Stegostoma tigrinum: one gene and its partner. The protein of the gene in region 1 interacts with the protein of each later gene in a biochemical or structural test. Links are inferred from orthologs where the notes say so. Each region holds a gene or a part of one and is shown on either strand. Other genes may lie near its edges. The genes, in order: pdgfra and platelet-derived growth factor subunit A-like.

The links.
Region 2: the proteins of pdgfra (region 1) and platelet-derived growth factor subunit A-like form a complex in vitro, tested with the Homo sapiens proteins (2 studies listed by BioGRID). The link is inferred for Stegostoma tigrinum from reciprocal best matches to the Homo sapiens genes PDGFRA and PDGFA.

What each region holds. Positions count from the first base shown.
Region 1 is NC_081354.1:107,875,036-107,885,047, reverse strand, and holds the start of pdgfra (platelet-derived growth factor receptor alpha), read right to left. Parts: upstream 3,941-10,012; 5' UTR 3,469-3,940; intron 2,935-3,468; exon of another isoform or gene 2,655-2,934; intron 1-2,654. UniProt on the Homo sapiens protein: Tyrosine-protein kinase that acts as a cell-surface receptor for PDGFA, PDGFB and PDGFC and plays an essential role in the regulation of embryonic development, cell proliferation, survival and chemotaxis.
Region 2 is NC_081376.1:37,109,957-37,120,472, reverse strand, and holds the start of platelet-derived growth factor subunit A-like, read left to right. Parts: upstream 1-6,282; 5' UTR 6,283-7,201; coding exon 7,202-7,261; intron 7,262-8,347; coding exon 8,348-8,444; intron 8,445-10,516.

The DNA of each region.
Region 1 (10,012 bases):
TACTCTGTTCCTTAAATGAAGGTTAACTAACGTAATAAGTATATAATAAGCAGGGTTGTTTACAAACGTCAACCGCTTTTAGGGACCCTGGCGCTATGGGATTACCATGAAATGACTGCATTCCTGCTTCAAGCCAAAGCGTGGCTCTCTAATACAACTGAGATCGTCAACGGAGAATTCTTACTCAAAGCCCAGTGAAACACACCAGATGTTTAGACCTGTAAATAAGGTTTAAACTGTTTGTGTGTCCAATTTCCAAAGTGGAACACACGGGTCTACACTGGGTATGTGCACACAACAGCAAATTGGTTATTGCAGCACTTTAGTGAGGCATCCCACTGGCAACATCATTTTATTAATGTCTTAACGTTGCAGTCGATGTCGGTTTCGTTCTATTTCTCCGGTTTAGCCTGTTAGAACTCGCCAGAACATTGAGACCACCGAATCCGGAAATTCTGAGGGTCTTTTTTCAGAATGAGAAGCCCCTGGGTGTAGCGCTCCTCCACTGTAGACAGGAGTAACACTCTCATTGTGGTATCACAATGACTGGAACCAATCCTTGTCAATTCAGTTCTCCCCCGGGAATGTCACTTCCTGAAATCCAGTTATTACCATTTATTGGCAGTCAGCGGGGAACAAGAGGGGCGTAAATGATTTATTTTCGTTCAATCCCATTTGCACTTCTCCTCTGGTCTGTAGGGGGTGCTAGATGCACACGTGGGATTGTATTTACATGCATGTAAAGTTTGATTGGGTTTTCTTGTGCGGATAAGGGCGCTGCTGAGAGAACTAGACTTGGGTGAACTATACATTGGCGTACCTTGTAACTTTATTAAGGAAAACACACACACACACACACACACACACACACAAGTGTTCTCGAAATACTTGCAGTAGGGAAAAAAACGTACAGCACCCACATCCCAGTTTTGTCACGTGCAGGAGGGTATCCTTTGTCATTGTCAATCTGATGACATTTTAAACCTCTATTAATGTTTGTGAGAGGAACAGCAAGTTACAGATATAGCATTTACATTCTGCATTCAATATTCGTAATCCCAAGCGATGTTTGAAGGTAGAAAAAAGAACCTGGTGAAGACTCGAGTTGACTCCACGTTACAAAGGGGCGAAACAGCCAGAGACCTGGGGGACAGGCTGCAGGCCACTCAGTTATACCCACCCGCCGCTCTCATCCTGCCTGTCCGGGATTACTCAGCAGCAGAGTGGCTTGACCTGAGTAACCGGCTTTGATTCAGGTTGTTTTTGTTGTGGAGGATGTGCATTTGGGACGTGCTAAACCCTAGGGTAATTTATCAGATTCCTCCAAGCGTCCTTTAAGTGCAACAAGACGGGGAGCAGACTCCAGTGTGAGGAGGTCAGCTCCAAACTACCCCCTGGATTCGCCACCAAACCCCTGGGATGTCCCAGGGGAGTGAATAGGCAAAGCGCATCCTCTCTCCGCTCGGTCAAAATCCTGCAGGGGTCCTGTGAGCTGGCAGTGCAAATAGAGTCGCCTCCCAAAGGCGAACATTTCGAAATCTTTGGGACACCACCCGCTGGCTTGATTCTGCGTCGAAAATCTCACCTCAACAGGGCTCCAAGATAACAAAGTGTGGAGCTCCGCTCCGTTCATGAAAGACTGAACTGTGAGCAGAGGATGGGACTGGGAATAATGACAACAGAGAGGCCAGGACAACTGAAAGCGAACATGTTTTAGTCACAGTCTTGGTTAACTTGGTTAAATAAAAGGATTAGAGAGAAAGAGAGAAACAGAAAGGATTTCCCGACAACAGGAGCTGTTTTATCAGAAGATAGCCTTACAGAAGTCCCATTGTTACCGACTTTACTTTTCTCAATAAGAGCTGGGGCTTCTTAAAGTGCCAGCTACCCACCGCGCGGAGCGCTGCGCTCTCTCTCTCTCTCTCTCTCTGTATCTGCGCTGCTCTTAACCATTTCAGTGCCACCCAGCAGGGTCTCGGTTTCAACAGCCCTCCCACTGGCTTTTGGCACTTCTGATGAAGAGCTGCGACTACTTCGGGCCAAATGTTTACCCGTCCATCGGTCCGTCTGCCGCTTCTCAATCTCCGGATCGAGTCCCCGGCAAAAAGAGGGGAGCAGGGGAGATCGGCGCGGGGAAGTGCTGTGTGGGGTGTTGGGGGGGGGGGGATGCCGGGCAAAGGGTCTGCTCCGGGTGTTTCCTGAGCAAGAGAAGGCAACGGGCACACGGAGCAGGGCAGACAGCAAATCAGACGCACCTCTCAGAGAAAACAAAAAATCCAGTACCAGAGTAGAGAAACTATTTTTGGGTACAGCGGTAAAACAGAGAGAGTGGGGGGGGGGGGAGTTGGGCAGTGGGCGAGTGGATAACTATAGAGGCTAAAGGACCTGGGGGTGGGGGCAAAGTGACAAAATAGTGCGAACGATGGAACAGCAAGTGGGAAAAGTCGGCTTAGAGAGAATCGGAGTAAAGTTGTAAGTTTTACTGTTCATTCTCTTCCAGAACTGAAGGGGGTTTGAATGAAGGAAATGATTAAAATGAATGATCAAGTTTCCTGAGAGTGAGTCTAACTACAGCCAAATGATGAAGAAAGAAACAAGTTATAAGAAAAGGAGCGAAGAGAGAGATATTACTGAAATACTACATTGATTCCTACCTCGTTTATCCTGCTGCTACTTTCCCCTCTCGCAAGTTTCGCAGAAACCTCCCGATACTGCTTTCCCTCACGGACTAGCCAACAAGCATTGGCTCACTTCTCCCTCCTTCCTGTTTACGTGATTCATCCGCACGCCAGAACTCCTGTACAATCCCCAAATCTCTCCCTCCGCCACCCTCGATCCCAGGACAGCGGAGTATTCCCAGGAAGAGAGAAGGAGAGACAGAAAGCCTCCACTTCGTCCGAAATTCCTCAAATCCCTGACGCAGGCTCACGGTGGCTCCCACATCCAGCGCCAATGTGTTTGTCATTATTATAGGTATTATGCAATGGAGCCATCAGTCTGCAGCGCGGCTGGCCAAGTTAAATGCAGCGGGACGGTTATCATGACCCAAGACCGTGCACAGAGCCGCTCTGTTTCCTCACTCGATAACGGTACCGCTCTAACATGCCACACACTCTCAGATAAGCGCTCACTTCCAAACTCAAAACATGCACTCCACTCAATGAAACGCACCACTTTCATACTCCATCGCTGGCCAAAGCGAACAGCCTTCTGAGAACAATCGACGATATGAACAAGACTCTTACATAATAAAGTACAAGCAGTTCTCCTAGTCCTTAAGATGCTTGTGCCCCTTTGGACCGACGGCGAACCAGCAGAGGGATGTGTGCAGGCACAGCTGTGGGTGCAATCTATATTGTCGTCTGGAACGCCAGACCTATTTACTAACAGATTTTACACAAGGAGATAAAACAGGGCCCCCACTCTCGCCCCGCACGCCTTTATAAAAATGATTTGTTTGCCCCCTACCTTGTGCAAAGTGGTAAGTCCACCAACTTCTGTTCCGAACAGGGGCAGCATGTACGTTTCACTCTGGAGCTGGGCTCAGATTGTTTAATGGCTCAAAGAACGGCGACTTGTAATTGATTCAATGTTGCAGTCCATCCTTCCAAAAAAACTAATCATCTGCTTTAAGTAAATAACTGTCAGGAAATGAAGCCCCTGAAGTCGCTTCAGAATAAGAGTCCGCAGATCACACGCTGCTCTTGGAGCCCTATTGGCTTCAGGCGGTCGAAGCTAGCCTTCCCAAACTCTTATCCACGCAGGGCAGTCACATTCAGGCTGTCTTGCGCAGAAAATTGCCATATGTGCATTTTGAAGCAAGTTTTATATGGACGAAAATGTTTCCCTCTCTCTCTCTCTCCCCAAGTTGCACCCCTCCGCCCGTGCTGACAATACGCTCACGGAAGGATAGCTAGTCTTTATGAATGAATTCCCAGCCCTTGTTAAACGCGGCTGATCTGTGCTCAGTACCAATGTAGTGGGACAGTTACGTTTGTAATGTTAGTGTCACTCAAATAGAAATGGCTTGAGAGATTTGAGGATTGTTTGCCAGAGTTTTGTTTAGAGAGGTGTGGGGGTAGGGTTTGGGGGAAAGAGAACTGCATAGTATTTTTAATGTCCTCCTGAACGTTGTCAACCGCAATAAATCTGCAAAGTGTTTTATTTTGGGATTATAGGAAACAGAAGACATTCCTAAACACTGGGTAAAATGATTTAAGTATGTTGTAAACAGATCGTTTCGCGTAATGACCTGATTCAATATTGACCAGTGAAGGCAGGAGGCGCCCTTGTTCTGTTCCTTGGGAGTTATTGCCCAGGAGTGAGGTGAGATCGCCTGCTCTCTTTGCATTTAAAAACCCGAACTGGCTGCATGAAAAGGTCGGTTTGACATGTTGTCTAACAAGCTCAGACCGTCTCCATCTTCTAATCAATTGGGATAAAGCAAGGGTGTAAATATCGAAAGAAATGTGGCGGGGAGCAATTGTGCAAACTATGTGCCAACACTGGGTGCCCGCTGGAAGGAGCGGGCTTGTTCGTTCTCCTGTTTTTTTTTTGTGTAGCTCGCTGCTGTTTCTCATCTTGCCCCCAGCCGTTAGCTGCAGTAATATATCTTCAGCGCTGGGAGTGAACAGGCCAAATATTACTTCCACATGTGTTTCAGGAAATCATTGGAGGCAACAGCGAGGCCAATCTGGGGAACCTCTTGTTTCTGGATGCTCGGAGATACCGTATTATTCCGAAAGAAACAGTCTCTTACCCATCTGAGAGAACGTTCGAATGTGTTTGATGTAAATAAGAGCGTGTTTATAAACTATTAGTGACGGCACACGCGCCGATCGATAGACTAACTTTTCAAAAAGGGAAAAAAAAGCCGAGAGTTTTGCAGTCCCTGTCCATTTCAAACCCTGTTGTTATTTCCCGAATACTTCGCTGAGTTTCTCGCTCTTTGGACTTGTCATGTTTTCACCCTCGGTGGTACATTTAGCTGTTTTTCCAACTAAGAAATTATTTCAGTTTATTGTTTAAACACCGACTGCGTTATCTTGTAAGAAATCAAATAACTCTAAGAAGCCACGCTGGGGGGTTAGAGTGTAGCTATATCCTATTTACAAGTCTGAGCCTGAGATTGTAATGGTTTGAGTGTACATCAGTCGGCAGACCGAACAATAGTTTGAGTCAATTGGTTGCAATTTGAAAAACATTGCTGCCTCTTGCAAACATCCAGTTAATTGACTTTGTCGGGAATGATGAATACGTGGATGGAAGGTCAAGCACAGAGTAAACTTGATGCAAGGTGAAGGTGAGCTCTCTGTTGCTGAATTACTACAGTGTAGATTTCCAATACAAGGTCACTCCCTCGGCGCACTGACCTGCAGCGTTTGGAGGGGTGTGTGGGGAGAAGAACAGGTCGGTGGAATACCACCTCCAGTCAGCAGCCGAGCTCCCTGTGAGCCCTAGCTAGGTACACACCGCCCTGACCCGCCAGTCAACAATCGAGGCTCCACTTTCAGCTTCTCACCAACAGGCCATCTTGAAGGGATTCCGAACTAGAGGAACACCATTAACCCCACCCGCCTGCTCCCAAGGATGATGTCCACGGCCTATTGGGCTGGTTGAAGGTAAAGGTCGGCAAGATTGCAGGCTTGGCCAGGGCAATCGTTTGGCCCAAAGAGCTGAGATTGCTCAGCCTCCAGTGTAATAGAAAATCCCTCGTCTGGGCGCTTGTGCACCTGGCCCATAGGATGCAGGGGTACAGCAGAACCACCTCTATACCTGCTGGAATAAACCCAGCAAGTGCAGAGGAAGACTTGCGATTTTGAACGGGAGATTATCAGCGTATGCGCATATTTATTCGCCTGGATTGGGAGGGTTTCTTCTGAAATAAAACGGAAAGATACACGGCCCACTCGATCAATCCTGATGTGGACAGATGTGTCATTGTTAGATCATAACCTCGTTACTGTGGGAAGACGTGCGTCCACACAACGCAAATTGGTCTGACGTAAACATGCTCTTTACCCAGGTTACTCTTAACATTACGCTACAGCATGTTTTAATTCAGCAGTCTGGTTGGGGGCGATTTCCATTCCACGACATAACATGCGCTCTGCTTCAGTACCCCGGCACTCCGGCGAAGATAAGCACAGAACTGTGAGACTTGCATGTGTTGGTAACACTGCATCTTCAGGGGGAGCTCAGTGCCTGCCCGTCAGCAATGAGCAGCGCTGCTGTTATCGATCTAACTCCCGTTCCCAGACTCAGAATAACATCTGCAGTAATTTGCTCCTTCATTCCCAAACCTCCGCTTTGCTCTCCTTAACGAATACTTTAAACAAATAAAGATTCCACGGTGTAATAAGTTATTTGCAAGTTTGGGAGTTTGGTGAAAGGATTTTGTGTTTAAAAGGCAATTATCACTCTTTTTGGAGCTAACCTAATTGAATTCAATGACAGACTAACTCCTTGACTTTATTAGGGGGCTGCGTGGGTGCAAATGACACGGAGACCAAGAAAGCCATTTGACCAGAGGGGGCCCGCGATACTGTTGAAAGCAATCCGTAACTTGTCCTTCCTCATGATTTCTTTTCTTTTTGGGGGTAGATTAGTCAGAGCAGCTGGGTTCCGTTGCTCCTACTGGGGTGAATCAAACTGCCGGGAAAGACAATTAATAAACTACCCAGCCAGCACAGAGGCGCTGTGTGGTCCGAACGGGTATAAGGGAGGGGGGGTAAGAAAATGTCTCCCAAAGTGACAGGTCTGTTTGTTTATTTGTCTCTTATCAGGCCATACTCTAATAGGAAGCGTTTAAATGCACACCATATGTGTCCGTGGATGGCTCCCTGACTGTCCCAACTCCCTTCACCATGTGTCACAAGGGACCTCTCGCATTGATAACAGGCCGCTATCAAGGTCCAATCTGTGGGATATTCTATGAACTGTTAGCTCGTATTTGTTCAGTGTGCTCTGTGAAATTCTGTCCCCACCACCCCCGCTGTGAGTGTTGTCCACGGGATAAATAATTTTTTGCTCGATATGGAGCTGCCGGAGTTGTGCGGGGGTTTCAAGTCTTTTTTTTTTCGGTGTAATCTGGCCGTTGTGAACGCTTTGGGACTGAGTTGTCAGCGAAGGCGAACGCAGTTGCTTTCCCTTTGATGTAGCTGACTGGTTCGTAAACCGAGACTTCATCTGGTTTTCGATCCCAGCTTTAAAACTACAGTTTTACAAACTGATGCTGGCCATTTACAACCAGGAGCGCAATTAGTTCTAGTGTGTGAGCTTTGTTTTATGACCACATTCGATCCGGTTCAGTCTTAATGATCGTTTGGTTTGGCACCTTCTAGAGTATCCTCACTTGAATGTTGTTTGACTCGTATCTTGCGTTCTGAGACTCGCTCCTGAACTTAAAAGCTCCATTCGTTTCCAGTGGCAGTGTACTGATTTCTCTCTCTCTCTCTCTCTCTCTCGCTGGCACATGCCCCGACTGTAACAATGTCGTTCATGAACGTTTCACAACAGATGAACAATGTAATCAAACACAGGTTCTTTCGGAACTGGCAAAGACATTTTGCTGGACCAACTGCACTCTACAAGACTTTTCATTGCACCTCTCAATCCTGCTTTCTTCAGAAACACGGACCACCAGCCAGAACTCGGTTTGTACCGTTTGTTTTCATCAAGACTATTCTCAATACCTTGCCCTCACACTAAAGCAGTTTTAAAAAGCGGGACCTTTTCGTGTCATATCGGATTAGAACACTTGCTGGAGTGGAAATGAGAAAAGGTCAACTCCCAGTCTATCCGTCTAACCCACTCTACTGTCACCCAGGATACTGCGTAGTTCTTCACCATAAACTATTTTATCATTCATAAATACTATTCTCTCTTCAGCCATTTGCGTTTCCATTTAACTTTCCGATTCATATTTAATGAGCGTACTCGTAAAGTTCTTTACTTTTTATCTAGAATAGCAAGTCATCGACAGTTCCTACTATCTCTGAAGTTCTGGGACGTGTTATAAAATTCGCGGGGAGCTGTTAATCAATTCTCAGCCCAGCGTTAAGCCAAACGGAGCGCTACTTGGTGTATAAATGTGAAAGGGCTTTCTCTCGGTCTGCCAACTGCGGTAGAACTCAGTACGGTGGCTCTCTATGTGACTAGCTCACACCTCGAGCCCAGCTCAATGAAACGACAAATTTAGTTGCCTATCTCGCCTGCAACCTCAGGTTTTAAAAAAACCGAGTCCTGTTCGCCTCCTCTTCTCCTTTGTCACTCCAGCCTGACTGAATGATTTCAGGTGCTTCTTGTCCGCAGCAGAAGACCACAAATGATGCAAAATGTGGCATTTCCTGAATGACTGTTCACATGGAAAAGCAGCTGGTTAAATGCAATTGACAGGTAATTGGTCATGAAAAGGAACAGATGGCACAGGGATGGCAGTGATAGATGGACGTAGGCAGTGACAACCAGAGACAGACCAACAAGAAAGATGAACAAAACCAAAGTTGCTGGAAAAGCTCAGTAGGTCTGGCAGCACCAGTGAAGGAAAAAACAGAGTTAAAGTTTCGGGTCCAGTGACCCTTCCTGAGAAAGATGAACAACGCTAGGTCTAATAGGTATCTAGGAGGAATAAGTCAGCATAGAGGTGCTAAATGTCATCATGACTGTCAAAGACTCACAGAACTTTTGTTTTATTTATTCACGGGACGTGGCTGCCCCTGGTTAACCAAAACCAATTACCGCTGTTGCTCAATCCAAGCAGTGCAGGGTTTAATATAAAAACTGGTAGATAAGTTTTGTTTCGTTGCAGTGGGCTGCCTGATAATTACAACAACGCTTTCAGCTTAAAAGGTTTTTCTTTAATGCATCGCTCGTTGTATTTTGATACTTGTTTATAGAAAAAAGTGCAACGCAGAGCTATAATACACGGTTTGTAAACGCGGGGCCTGTTTAATAGAGCAGCAAATCGAGAGTTTGAACGAACAATGACAAGATAATGACATTGCTGAGCTTGGCACATTTCTGGGTGACTAACGAGAGGACATGTTTGCCTCTGAGAACCATGGCATTCTGACCTGGCAGCAGCGCATTGTTTGTCATCCATTATTCCCGGGTGGAAGCACTCCAGCCTCGGACTCAGTCTTGTGCTCAACTCCCGCGCAATCATCATCACAAAATCCGAGAAGACTTTAGGTTAATTGCATAACTTTGGCAATGACCCATTGTCCGTTCACACAGTGATTTTTATGCGGATTGATGTAATTAGTCTGGTTATACAATGGTTATACAATGGGGGAATCCATTTAGAAATTGTGTTTACCCTAGTACTTTGCAAAATCCAATCCAACAAAAGAAAGAGACGAGACAGCAGACAACTGATAAGGAGCCAAGTGGACACTCGCTTCGTGGACTCTTTTCTATTGGAATGTGTCTGATTGTAGCATGTACAAGAGATAGTCCGTACCTAAGCGGTTAAGAAAATGCGATTTAGGTTTGAAACAGGTTATCAATCGCAGGCACATACATTATTTCTGTGGTGACTTTGCTTCATATCAAAGTGCAGAAGGAAACTGTAAACTGCGACTTTATATCGGAGAATTATTTAAAACAGGCAAAAAGACGGACGCATGCATCACTAAATATATATTTTGCATCCTTATCCTTTCGTGGATGCATTTATTCAATTATCATTTGCTTATCGTTATACAACATTTTTCCCGTTTTTGCAATCCTAAAAATGCATTATTGTTCACGGTGTACAAAGTAATGAAATCTCCACGCGGAGCGTTAAAGAGCAGAAATTGAACAGAGACAATTACGTTGAGTGAACCCAAAGTTCACCAACGTTCAACTCAACGTTCAATCGAACCCAGCTCTGGCGGTCACTGCGGGCTCTGTTCAATGCGATCAGATTATAGCCAGCAGAGGGCGCATGAGTCCGGCAGAGAAACAGGAGTGCGGACGTGGGGAGACCGGAGCATGTAATTAGCAGCAAAAACCGGCCATTCGGTCT
Region 2 (10,516 bases), on another chromosome or scaffold:
TTGCAGTTTGTTGTACATATACCAATGAATTGTGTACAAAATTTCTACACTGTTGCTATTGTCTCTGTTTCATCTGTGTTTATCTACCGTCTGTATTTAAGTAACAGATTTACATATTGTGGTGATGCAAGTGTCTGGAACACGACTCCCTATTGCTGTGATTCAGTGGCAGATGCGAGATGGTTACTATAATAGCCTGCTTGATATTTGCCTGGAGGGAGGGATAATGCAGCCCCCACAATGAATCAATCTTAATGTGATGCATACTGACATATTTCTCATGATAGGAGACAGATGGAACCTATGAGCAATTGACCTTGTAGTTTTCTTGCTGAGCAGATAGAAAGTTACATTATAAATTGATAGCGTTTATAGACAATAGGTGCTGGAGTAGGCCATTCGGCCCTTTGAGCCAGCACCACCATTCATTATGATCATGGCTGATCATCCACAATCAGTATCCTGTTCCTGCCTTATCCCCATAACCCTTGATTCCACTATCTTTAAGAGCTCTGTCTATCTCTTTCTTGAAAGCATCCAGAGAGTTGGCCTCCACTGCCTTCTGGGGCAGAGCATTCCATATATCCACCACTCTCTGGGTGAAGAAGTTTTTCCTCAACTCTGTTCTAAATGGCCTACCCCTTATTTTTAAAATGTGTCCTCTGGTCCTGGACTCACCCAACAGCGGAAACATGCTTCCTGCCTCCACAGTGTCCAATCCCTTAATAATCTTATACGTCTCAATCAGATCCCCTCTCATCCTTCTAAACTCAAGAGTATATAAGCCCAGTCGCTCCAATCTTTCAACGTATGATAGTCCCGCCATTCCGGGAATTGACCTTGGGAACCTATGCTGCACTCCCTCAATAGCAAGAATGTCCTTCCTCAAATTGGGAGACCAAAATTGCACACAATACTCCAGGTGCGGTCTCACCAGGGCCCTGTACAGCTGCAGAAGGACCTCTTTGCTCCTATACTCAATTCCTCTTGTGATGAAGGCCAGCATGCTACTAGCTTTCTTCACTACCTGCTGTACCTGCATGCTTGCTTTCATTGGCTGATGTACAAGAACACCTAGATCTCATTGTGCTTCCCCTTTACCTAACTTGACTCCATTGAGATAGTAATCTGCCTTCCTGTTCTTGCCACCAAAGTGTATAACCACACATTTATCCACATTAAACTGCATCTGCCTTGCATCCGTCCACTCAACTAGCCTGCCCAAGTCACCCTGTATTCTAATAACATCCTCCTCACATTTCACACTGCCACCCAACTTTGTGTCATCAGCAAATTTGCTAATATTACTTCTAATGCCTTCGTCTATATCATTAATATATATCGTAAACAGCTGCGGTCCCAGCACCGAACCTTGTGGTACCCCACTGGTCACCGCCTGCCATTCCGAAAGGGACCTGTTTATCACTACTTTTTGCTTCCTGTCAGCCAGCCAATTTTCAATTCAACTCAGTATTTTGCCCCCAATACCATGTGCCCTAATTTTGTTCACCAATCTCCTATGCCGGACTTTATCAAAGGCTTTCTGAAAGTCCAGGTACACTACATCCACTGGCTCTCCCTTAACCATCTTCAGATACATCCTCAAAAAAATCCAGAAGATTACTCAAGCACTATTTCCCCTTCAAAAATCCATGCTGACTCTGGCCTATTCTGTTACTGCTATCCAAAGAGAATGCTATGCAAGAGAAATAAAGGCTTCCATTTATACCATAGGGCATTCCAAGTTACACACAACTGAGCTTTATTGGAGTGTAGTCACTGTTTGAACGTAGGAAACATGGCAGATAATTTATGCAGAGCAAACTCCTACAAACAGTATTGCGATGATGGCGTGTAATGTCGATTTAAGAATAAACGTAGGCAAGACACCAGTCAGAACTCAATTGCTCTTCGAAAGTGTGGGATCTTAACGGTTCCATCCGAAAGGACGCACAGGCCCGCAATATCAGATCTCATTGGAAAAGCAGCACTTGGTTCAATACCTTTTGTGCTCCGCCGTCAGAACCAGACCCAGACCAACGAACTCAGAAGTGAGTGATCCAGTGAACCCACAGCCGACATAAATAGCTGCCATATCATCCTCTCGACAACATTCCATGTTGAAATCAATCTACATATGCATTCAAAATTTAGAAGCAAGATTTATTTGAACTTTCAATGCATTCACCATCAGCAGGTTGACACCGCGCTGAAGACTGGTTTGGGTTAAATACCAAATAAATGTCTACTAGCTGTTACTGCAGATGGCATAATTGCACCGACTCAGTCTAAAGCTACTTAGTTTCGGCATGCACCCAAGAGCGACACAAAAGCCCCGTGCGGTGATACAATCAAGAGCAGAAAACAGGATTCTCGACTTCCTACTGTTTGCAAACTTATATTTGGTCGCATTCATCTTGTTTTTAACACTACTTGTGTATTTACAGCAACTGGCATAAAACTAAAATGTTAATAACTTGATTAACTTTATTAAGCTCCGGTCCCACTTGACAGGGATTAAGATATGACTACGAAAACGGATTAAGTGTGTACTTTGCACTATTCCCACTCCCCTTCGATCAAAGTCTGGCCTATTGGCGCCATACCACGGAACTATCAAAAAGCAAGTCGATTCTAATTTGCTCAATCTGTCGTTTTTTGCAATAAGTAGCTCGCACGCCTTGTTTCATCTGGTAAATGATCTCGCCGCTTCAAAATGAGTCCCTCATATCAAAGCAGAAAGCCGTGTGTGCCGCAAATTTCACGCCCAAACCGAACGCTGACACAGGCAGGCATGATTCAGGACCGAACGCGCTTTATGCTTAACGGAGTGGAAGGGGATGTGAACAACAGTGTTTGCAAACAGGAGGGTGGCACCACTAGCTTACAGCTGCTAATGAGATTCACTTCGGCCGCTTGCAGCTTCCGCACATGTCAGCGGGCCGCACGTGACACAGCCCGCAGGCGACTCCCCACAACGTCACAGCGTGGGAGCGGCTCTGATTAGGTAACCACGGCGGCACGTGTCACCAGGTGGGCATGCGCAGCTGGGCGAGCGGTGCACGCGCCTTTTCCAACGGCCGTTTAACCCCGCCCAAACCGGGTGGGGGGGGGCGCAGGAAAAGGGGTGGGATAAGGGATAATGGTCGGGGGCTGGGGTTAGATGGGATAAGGGGTGAGGAGAGTAGAAGGGGGAAGAGGAGGGAGAAGGAGAGGGGCGTGGGGAGAAGGTGGGGGAGGGGTGAAGGCGGAGGGAGTTGGGGAAGGCGGAGGGAGTTGGGGGATGGGGAGGAAATGGTGGAGGGATTTGGGGGATGGGAACGGGGTGGGACGAAGGCTGAGGGAGTTGGGGGAAGGCAGAGGGAGTTGGGAGAGGGGTGAAGCCGAAGGGAGTTGGAGGATGGCAGAGGGGTTTGGGGGATGAGGAGGGGTTTGGGGGATGAGGAGGGGGTTGGATAGGGAGGGATTTGGGGAATGGTGGAGGGATTTGGGGGATGGGGAGGGATTTGGGGGATGGGGAGGGGGTTGGGGGATGGGGAGGGGGTTGGGGGATGGGGAGGGGGTTGGGGGAAGGCGGAGGGGGTTGGGGGATGGCGGAGGGGGTTGGGGGATGGCGGAGGGGGTTGGGGGATGGCGGAGGGGGTTGGGGGAAGGCGGAGCGGGTTGGGGGAAGGCGGAGCGGGTTGGGGGAAGGCGGAGGGGGTTGGGGGAAGGCGGAGGGGGTTGGGGGAAGGCGGAGGGGGTTGGGGGAAGGCGGAGGGGGTTGGCAGAGGGTTTTGGGGTATGGCGGGGTTGGGGAAGGCGGAGGGAGTTGGGGGATGGGCAGGGAATGGTGGAGGGATTTGGGAGATGGGGAGGGGGTTGGGGGAAGGCAGAGGGAGTTGGGGTATGGCGGGGTTGGGGGAAGGCGGAGGGGGTTGGGAGAGGGGGAAAGGCGGAGGGAGTTGTGGGATGAGGAGGGGAATGGCAGAGGGATTTGGGGGATGAGGAGGGAGTTGGGGAATGCGGAGGGAGTTGGGGGATGGGGAGGGGGAAGGCGGAGGGAGTTGGGAGATGGGGAGGAGATTGGGTTTAGGTGGAGGGAGTTGGGGCAGGGGTTGGGGGAAGGTGAAGGGAGTTGGGGGATGAGGGAGAGGGGAATGGAGGGTAAGGGGGAAGGAGGTAAGGAAGAGGATGGGATGGCGGATGGGGAGGGTGGCGAGATGGGAACAGGTAGATAGAAGGAGGGGAAAAGAGGGATATGGAGAGGGGGAGGGGTAATTAGGGATGAGAATGGGGGAGGGGGAAGTAGTTGGATGGGGAAGGGGGTGAAAGAATGGGGAGGAAGCGGGAAAGGAATGTGAGGGGACATGGGGAAGGTGTGAAGGCATGAAGTAGTATACGACGGGTGGGGTTAGTGCAGTGGAAGGATCATGGCCTTGGATAGAAAAGGAAATATGAGGAAGAGGTTATGTGTTGAGGGAACTTGCTTGAGGAGAACAGAAAAATCCAATCATAACTCTCTGATGAAGGGTCTGGGCCCGAAACGTCAGCTTTTGTGCACCTGAGATGCTGCTTGGCCTGCTGTGTTCATCCAGCCTCACATTTTATTATCTATGATTAACTTGAAGCTTGCTGTCACCCAACTGTGGGTCAAAAACAGGTAGGTATGGGTCAGAATTCTTTTGTGTTTTCCATTATTTAAAATTATGAGGAAGTGTCTTGAAATTTGACTTGAAATGTTACCTCTGATTTCTCTCCACAGATGCTGAAATTTTCCAGCAATGTCAGTTTTTATTAAGAAATGTTTCTGTGTGAGGCACAGGAATGTCATGTGGGTAGAATAATACTCTGCTCAAGGAAAATGGCTTGCAGTAATGTTTCTACCTGCCCTTCCACATTATGATAGGGTGAAGTGAAAAACTGTGGGAAGTAACATTTATGGAAGATAAACACAGGCATAACCCTAACCACCCCAGCTATTCCACTCCCACCACTCTCTCCTATTGCCCCCCCACTCTCCTATTCCTGTCCCCACCCATCCCCTCCCCATTTCTCCAACCCTATTCTCCCCCCTCCAATATCCCTCCACCTATGCCCCCCGGTTCCGCTGTCTGCTCCCCCCTCAGCCCACTTCTTTCATTCCCCTTGTTCCCTCACCCCTCCACTATTCACCCCAACCCCCTCTCCTTGTACCCGCCTCGCATCCTCTCATTCTCCTCCACACCAGCTTCCCCCTCCCTCCCACTCCAGTGCCCACCCTCCCCTCCTTCTCCCCCTCCTCTACCATCTCCCCCTCCCTTCCTTCCAACCTCGCTCCTCTCCCCCTCCCTTTCCTCTCCTCTTCCCCTCTCCCTCTCTTCACCACCCTCCCTTCTCTCCCTCCGTTCTCTCCTCTCTCCTTTCTCATTTCCCTCTCCTCATCCCCCTCCCTTCTCACCGCCCTCCCATCTCTCTCCCCTCCCTTCACCTCCTCCCCTCTTTCCCCTCCCTTCTCCCCTTCATCCCTCATCCTTCTCCCCCTCACCACCCCTCTCCCTTGTGTCCCCCCCTTCACCTCCATCCCTTTTGTCCTCCCTCCCTTCACCCCATCCCTTCTGTCCCGCTCCCTTCTCCCCCATCACCCCATTCCTTCTGTTACCCCTCCCTTTTTCCTCCCTCACTTCTCTCCCTTCACCCCCATGCCTTCTTCCCTCTCCCTCTCCTCCCCCATCACTCTGCCCCCTCCCTCTTCGCGTCCCCGACCTTCTCGTTCATCCCCCCCTCCCGCCCTCCATTCTCTTCCTTTGGGGCAGCAGGGTGGCTCAGTGATTACCACTGCTGCCTCACAGCACCAGGGACCTGGGTTCAATTCTACCCGTGGGTGACTGTGTGGAGCTTGCACATTCTCCCTGTGTCTGCGTGGGTTTCCTCCGGGTGCTCCGGTTTCCTCCCACAGTCTGAAGATGTGCACGTTAGGTGGATTGGCTCTGGGAAATTGCCCATAGTGTTCAGGGGTGTGTTAGGTGGGTTACAGGGGTGTGTCTGGGTGGGATGCTCTCAGATTCGGTGTGGACTTGTTGGGCCAAGGGCCCGTTTCCACACTGTATGGATTCCCTTCTCACACTCATCTCTCTGCTCTCCCCCTCTCCATCTCCCTCTAACCCCACTTTCTCTACCTTCTCTTCCCCCCCCCCCCAACACCCCTCCCCGCCACTAAATCCCTCTCTCACCGTTCCCCACTGTCCTACCCCTCCTTACCACTCCCCCCTTGCACATCTCCCTCCCGGAGACTAGGAACCTGTGTTCTGTCATGGCCATGTACAGGACAGACGGAGTTGGGCTTCCAGGATAGCAGGGACCGGCCAGGGTGATTCCGCGCATTGCGGTGAGCTCACCGTGTGCCCAAGGGCAGGAGCCACGGGCCATAAGGAACTGTGCCTGGGCGGAGACCGTGTGCGAGAGCCGCCTCTCGCTGTCCTAGTAACTCGCCAGTCGGCGGCGTGATGTCAAACTGTCTCAGTCTACAGCTCTTTTCGAGGTTGGAGTTGGGGGCATGAGGAGCTCTACAATCAGCCTCTGTTCCTTTGTCAGAGTGGGATCATCAAGCTCTCGGCAAGGCGCTTCTACACCGGCTCTAACATTTTTCATCCGATATGGCAGCGATTTCTAAACCGAAAGGAAACCCTTTCTCCTTGCCCACCGTGTGAACTTCGGCCGCTACCGGACAAACTGCAAGAATTAACAACTCGAGCTCAAATTAATTGAAAGAATTAAATTGGGGAAAAACTCCAAAAACAGTTTGCCAGATTTTGAATTCTGTCTTATTGTGTGTCTTTAAATGGGATCGTCCAACTGGTGAATTTTCAAAATAACAGGAATAAGTCCATATTTATGATAAATTCTCTCAGAGACTCAGTGTCCCATCCCCTTTTTTCTCCTGTGCAGCCAGACAGGTGATGGGCGTATCAGTCCGGTGCAGTGTTGACTCATGGGTTTTTCAGTTTGGTCTGATCTGAACAAATATGCAGATCTACCGGCTGGTCTACTGCTGATGCCAGAGAGAGAGGAAGAGAGAGAGAGGACGGCAAGGAAACGTACAAATCCAATGTGAAACAAGAAAAAAAATCCTCACTCTAGTTACTTTTCCGAGGGATGGTACTGATTTTTTCTGCGATAGGGGCGCCGCTGAAGCTCCTAAATGATCGATTCTCGCTGCAGGACAAACTTAAAGTGAAACGAAATGCGAGCCACGGTTTATTTCATTCTGGGCTTTTGCTACCTGACCTGTGCGCGTACAGAGGTAAGCTATTACTTTAAAGCACAATAACTCAACCTCCTAATGGCTGCCCGCTGTCCATGCTCTCTTTATTTATCTTGAGTGATAGCGGATGGTTCTTCTGCAGTTTTCTTTGAGCTTTTGTGTGTGTTTTTTTTAACGAGCTGTGCTTTTGTTAACCAGTCCCTGGCCGCAAAGCTGGCTCTGTGCAATCGCAGTTCGTCTGCTAGACAAGTCTTGCGTCGGTTTTTCCGCCAAATGTGCTTGCAAATAGTCCGCTCCGTTAAAATCGGGCAAACGGTTCTGTTGCTTTTTGTTTTATTCCCTCAGGGAATGGATATTTGTGCACTGCACTAAGTTGGTGCATGACAGCATTTTTTGCTGCAGGTCTTGGCTTGTGCTCCGAAACGCCTCAGTGTTCACTAAGTGAGCTGGAGCAAATAAAGGGGAAAACGATCGGGAGCGGCCAGAATGGTGACTTTTATTATCTTCTTTCTCCCCGAAAGACATCAGATCTGGAAGGGAGGGAAAGCAGCACAACAAATTATTGTTATCGCTTGAAGGCTAGGTTTGGGGTCAAAGTACCGGCGTGGCGGAGGTCTCTCTGTTACGGCTTGTGTTTGTCTCCGATCAAAGTATCAGACTGTGCAAGAGTTACAAGGAAACAAAACACCAGGTGCTCCACTCCGAGCCCACTAACCTTCTGGTGCGCTTGATTTAGCACTGCTACATTTTGTTCGGCCACCGACTGCGAATCAGTGAGAACGAGTGCAATGGTGGTTTGCAAAACGATCTTGCTCCCTTGTCGGTCACTTCAGAGCTGTTTACTGTGTGAAGCTGGGGCTGAGCATTCGATCTGAAGGCATCATGCTCACAACCTCAAGTGCGCGCTGGTTTTACTCGGCCTGTCTCAACCCCGTTTTACACTGCATGCCTTCCAAGAGTGGGTCAGCCCGGCGTACGTTCAAATGATTTATAAAGTTTCTAAAGAACTTAGAAAGTTTATTTTTAGTTAAAACATTTTTACCGGGGAGTAAGATGCGTCATTTGTTTTGTCCATTATTTTATTTTTGCACTTATTTTCGCTTATTTGGCTCATTTTCTTCCAAGGAAGCTGAATTTCCCCCAGAATTGCTTGAGAAGCTGGCACACAGTGATATTACCAGCATCCGCGATCTTCAGCGCCTCCTGGAGATTGAATCCGTAGGTAAATTATGTTTATATGTATATATTACCTTCTTTGTCTCACACATGGGACCACGTTATTGCCCTGCAACAGTAAACCGTACATTTCACGCTTCCTGTCATGTTTATTAATTGTTTCTTGTGTAATGAAATGAAGTCTGTGGATTTCAGAATCTTGTCTTAAAACATCAATGCAGACAGGCTGCAAGGCAGCTAGCGATCTCTGTAACATTACAACCAGGGCGTCGCTCTCAATGACCGGGGTATTCCACTTTGTTAAAACCCCTCCTCCCAACCCAACCCCACACAACACAAAAAATAAATTGTGAAAGGCTTGGAACTGCATTTTTGAAGTCAGCCTGTGATGGCACGGCGCGTCCGCCGTCCCACACTAAGCAAGAGTACTTGATGTTTGAGGCGTTTATAGTAGAAACACCGGATGGATATTTTATTTGTACAGACGGTTTGTTGAATGTCGTGTGAATTACAAGCGTCAAAACTGAAAGACAGCAAGCACTTGAGAGTGCCTCAGTAATGGTAATCAGCACATTGATCCGTTTGACCAGAGAAAGGATTGATCTCCTTGATGCAGAGTTTGAGCGTTAAACATGCCCTCGAAGTAGACAGCACCCCCTAACAACTATCCCGAGGGATCTATTTGTGGAGAACATTCAGAAATATGTTAGGTGATAGTCATAACACAGAAGTACTTGCAGACAGCTCAACTTCAAATACGTTTCACGGTTGAATGCTTCATTCGAAATACTGTATAATGGAAGACATAAAATACTGCAATTAAAAGCCTATATATTTTTCAAACCGTGTTCCAGTAATGACGATAAACCTGCAAGTATACAATTTTAGTGGAAAATGGTGGGGTGGGTTATTCAAGTTCACTAAAGATAACAAAGTGTGGAGCTGGATGAACACAGCAGGCCAAGCAGCATCTCAGGAGCACAAAAGCTGATGTTTCGGGCCTAGACCCTTCATCAGAGAGGGTGCAATGAGTTTGCACTCTCTGATGAAGGGTCTAGGTCCGAAACGTCAGCTTTTGTGCTCCTGAGATGCTGCTTGGCCTGCTGTGTTCATCCAGCTCCACACTTTGTTATCTTGGATTCTCCAGCATCTGCAGTTCCCATTATCACTATTCAAGTTCACTGTTTTCTTGACGCAGAAACTACTTGATCATTGAGCATTTAACACATTCGCTCCATCCATGTACAGTACTTTTTATTTTAAATACCAGGCCACTGGAAGCTTAACAACCACTGATTCTTTTCCCAGCTTTTGATCAATTAACAACAATTGGACACTGAGGACAACTTTTTAAAAATATTTAGCAAGGAAGAAAAACCTTATGTAGCACCTTTCACACCCATGGGGATATTCCAAAGGACTGCACAGTCACCAAAGAATCTTTTGAACTTCTGTTGCAATATGGCATCCAATTTGTGTACAGCAAAATCCCACAATAGTAATTACCAGATAATTTGTTTTAATGATGTGGTTTGAGTGAAATTGCATCAGGCATCCTGCTCTCTTTCAAATAGTTCCATAAAATATATCTGAGAGGGCAAGCTGATCCTTGGTGTAAAATCTCCGTCTGAAAGACCGATGAGATCTTGCCACAATGTTGAGATGGTAAATTCAAAACCTATGTCACTAGGGTTAAGAGAACAAAATGTGAGGCTGGATGAACACAGCAGGCCAAGCAGCATCTCAGGAGCACAAAAGCTGACGTTTCGGGCCTAGACCCTTCATCAGAGAGGGGGATGGGGAGAGGGAACTGGAATAAATAGGGAGAGAGGGGGGGAGGCGGACCGAAGATGGAGAGTAAAGAAGATAGGTGGAGAGAGTATAGGTGGGGAGGTAGGGAGGGGATAGGTCAGTCCAGGGAAGACGGACAGCTCAAGGAGGTGGGATGAGGTTAGTAGGTAGCTGGGGGTGCGGCTTGGGGTGGGAGGAAGGGATGGGTGAGAGGAAGAACCGGTTAGGGAGGCAGAGACAGGTTGAACTGGTTTTGGGATGCAGTGGGTGGGGGGGAAGAGCTGGGCTGGTTGTGTGGTGCAGTGGGGGGAGGGGACGAACTGGGCT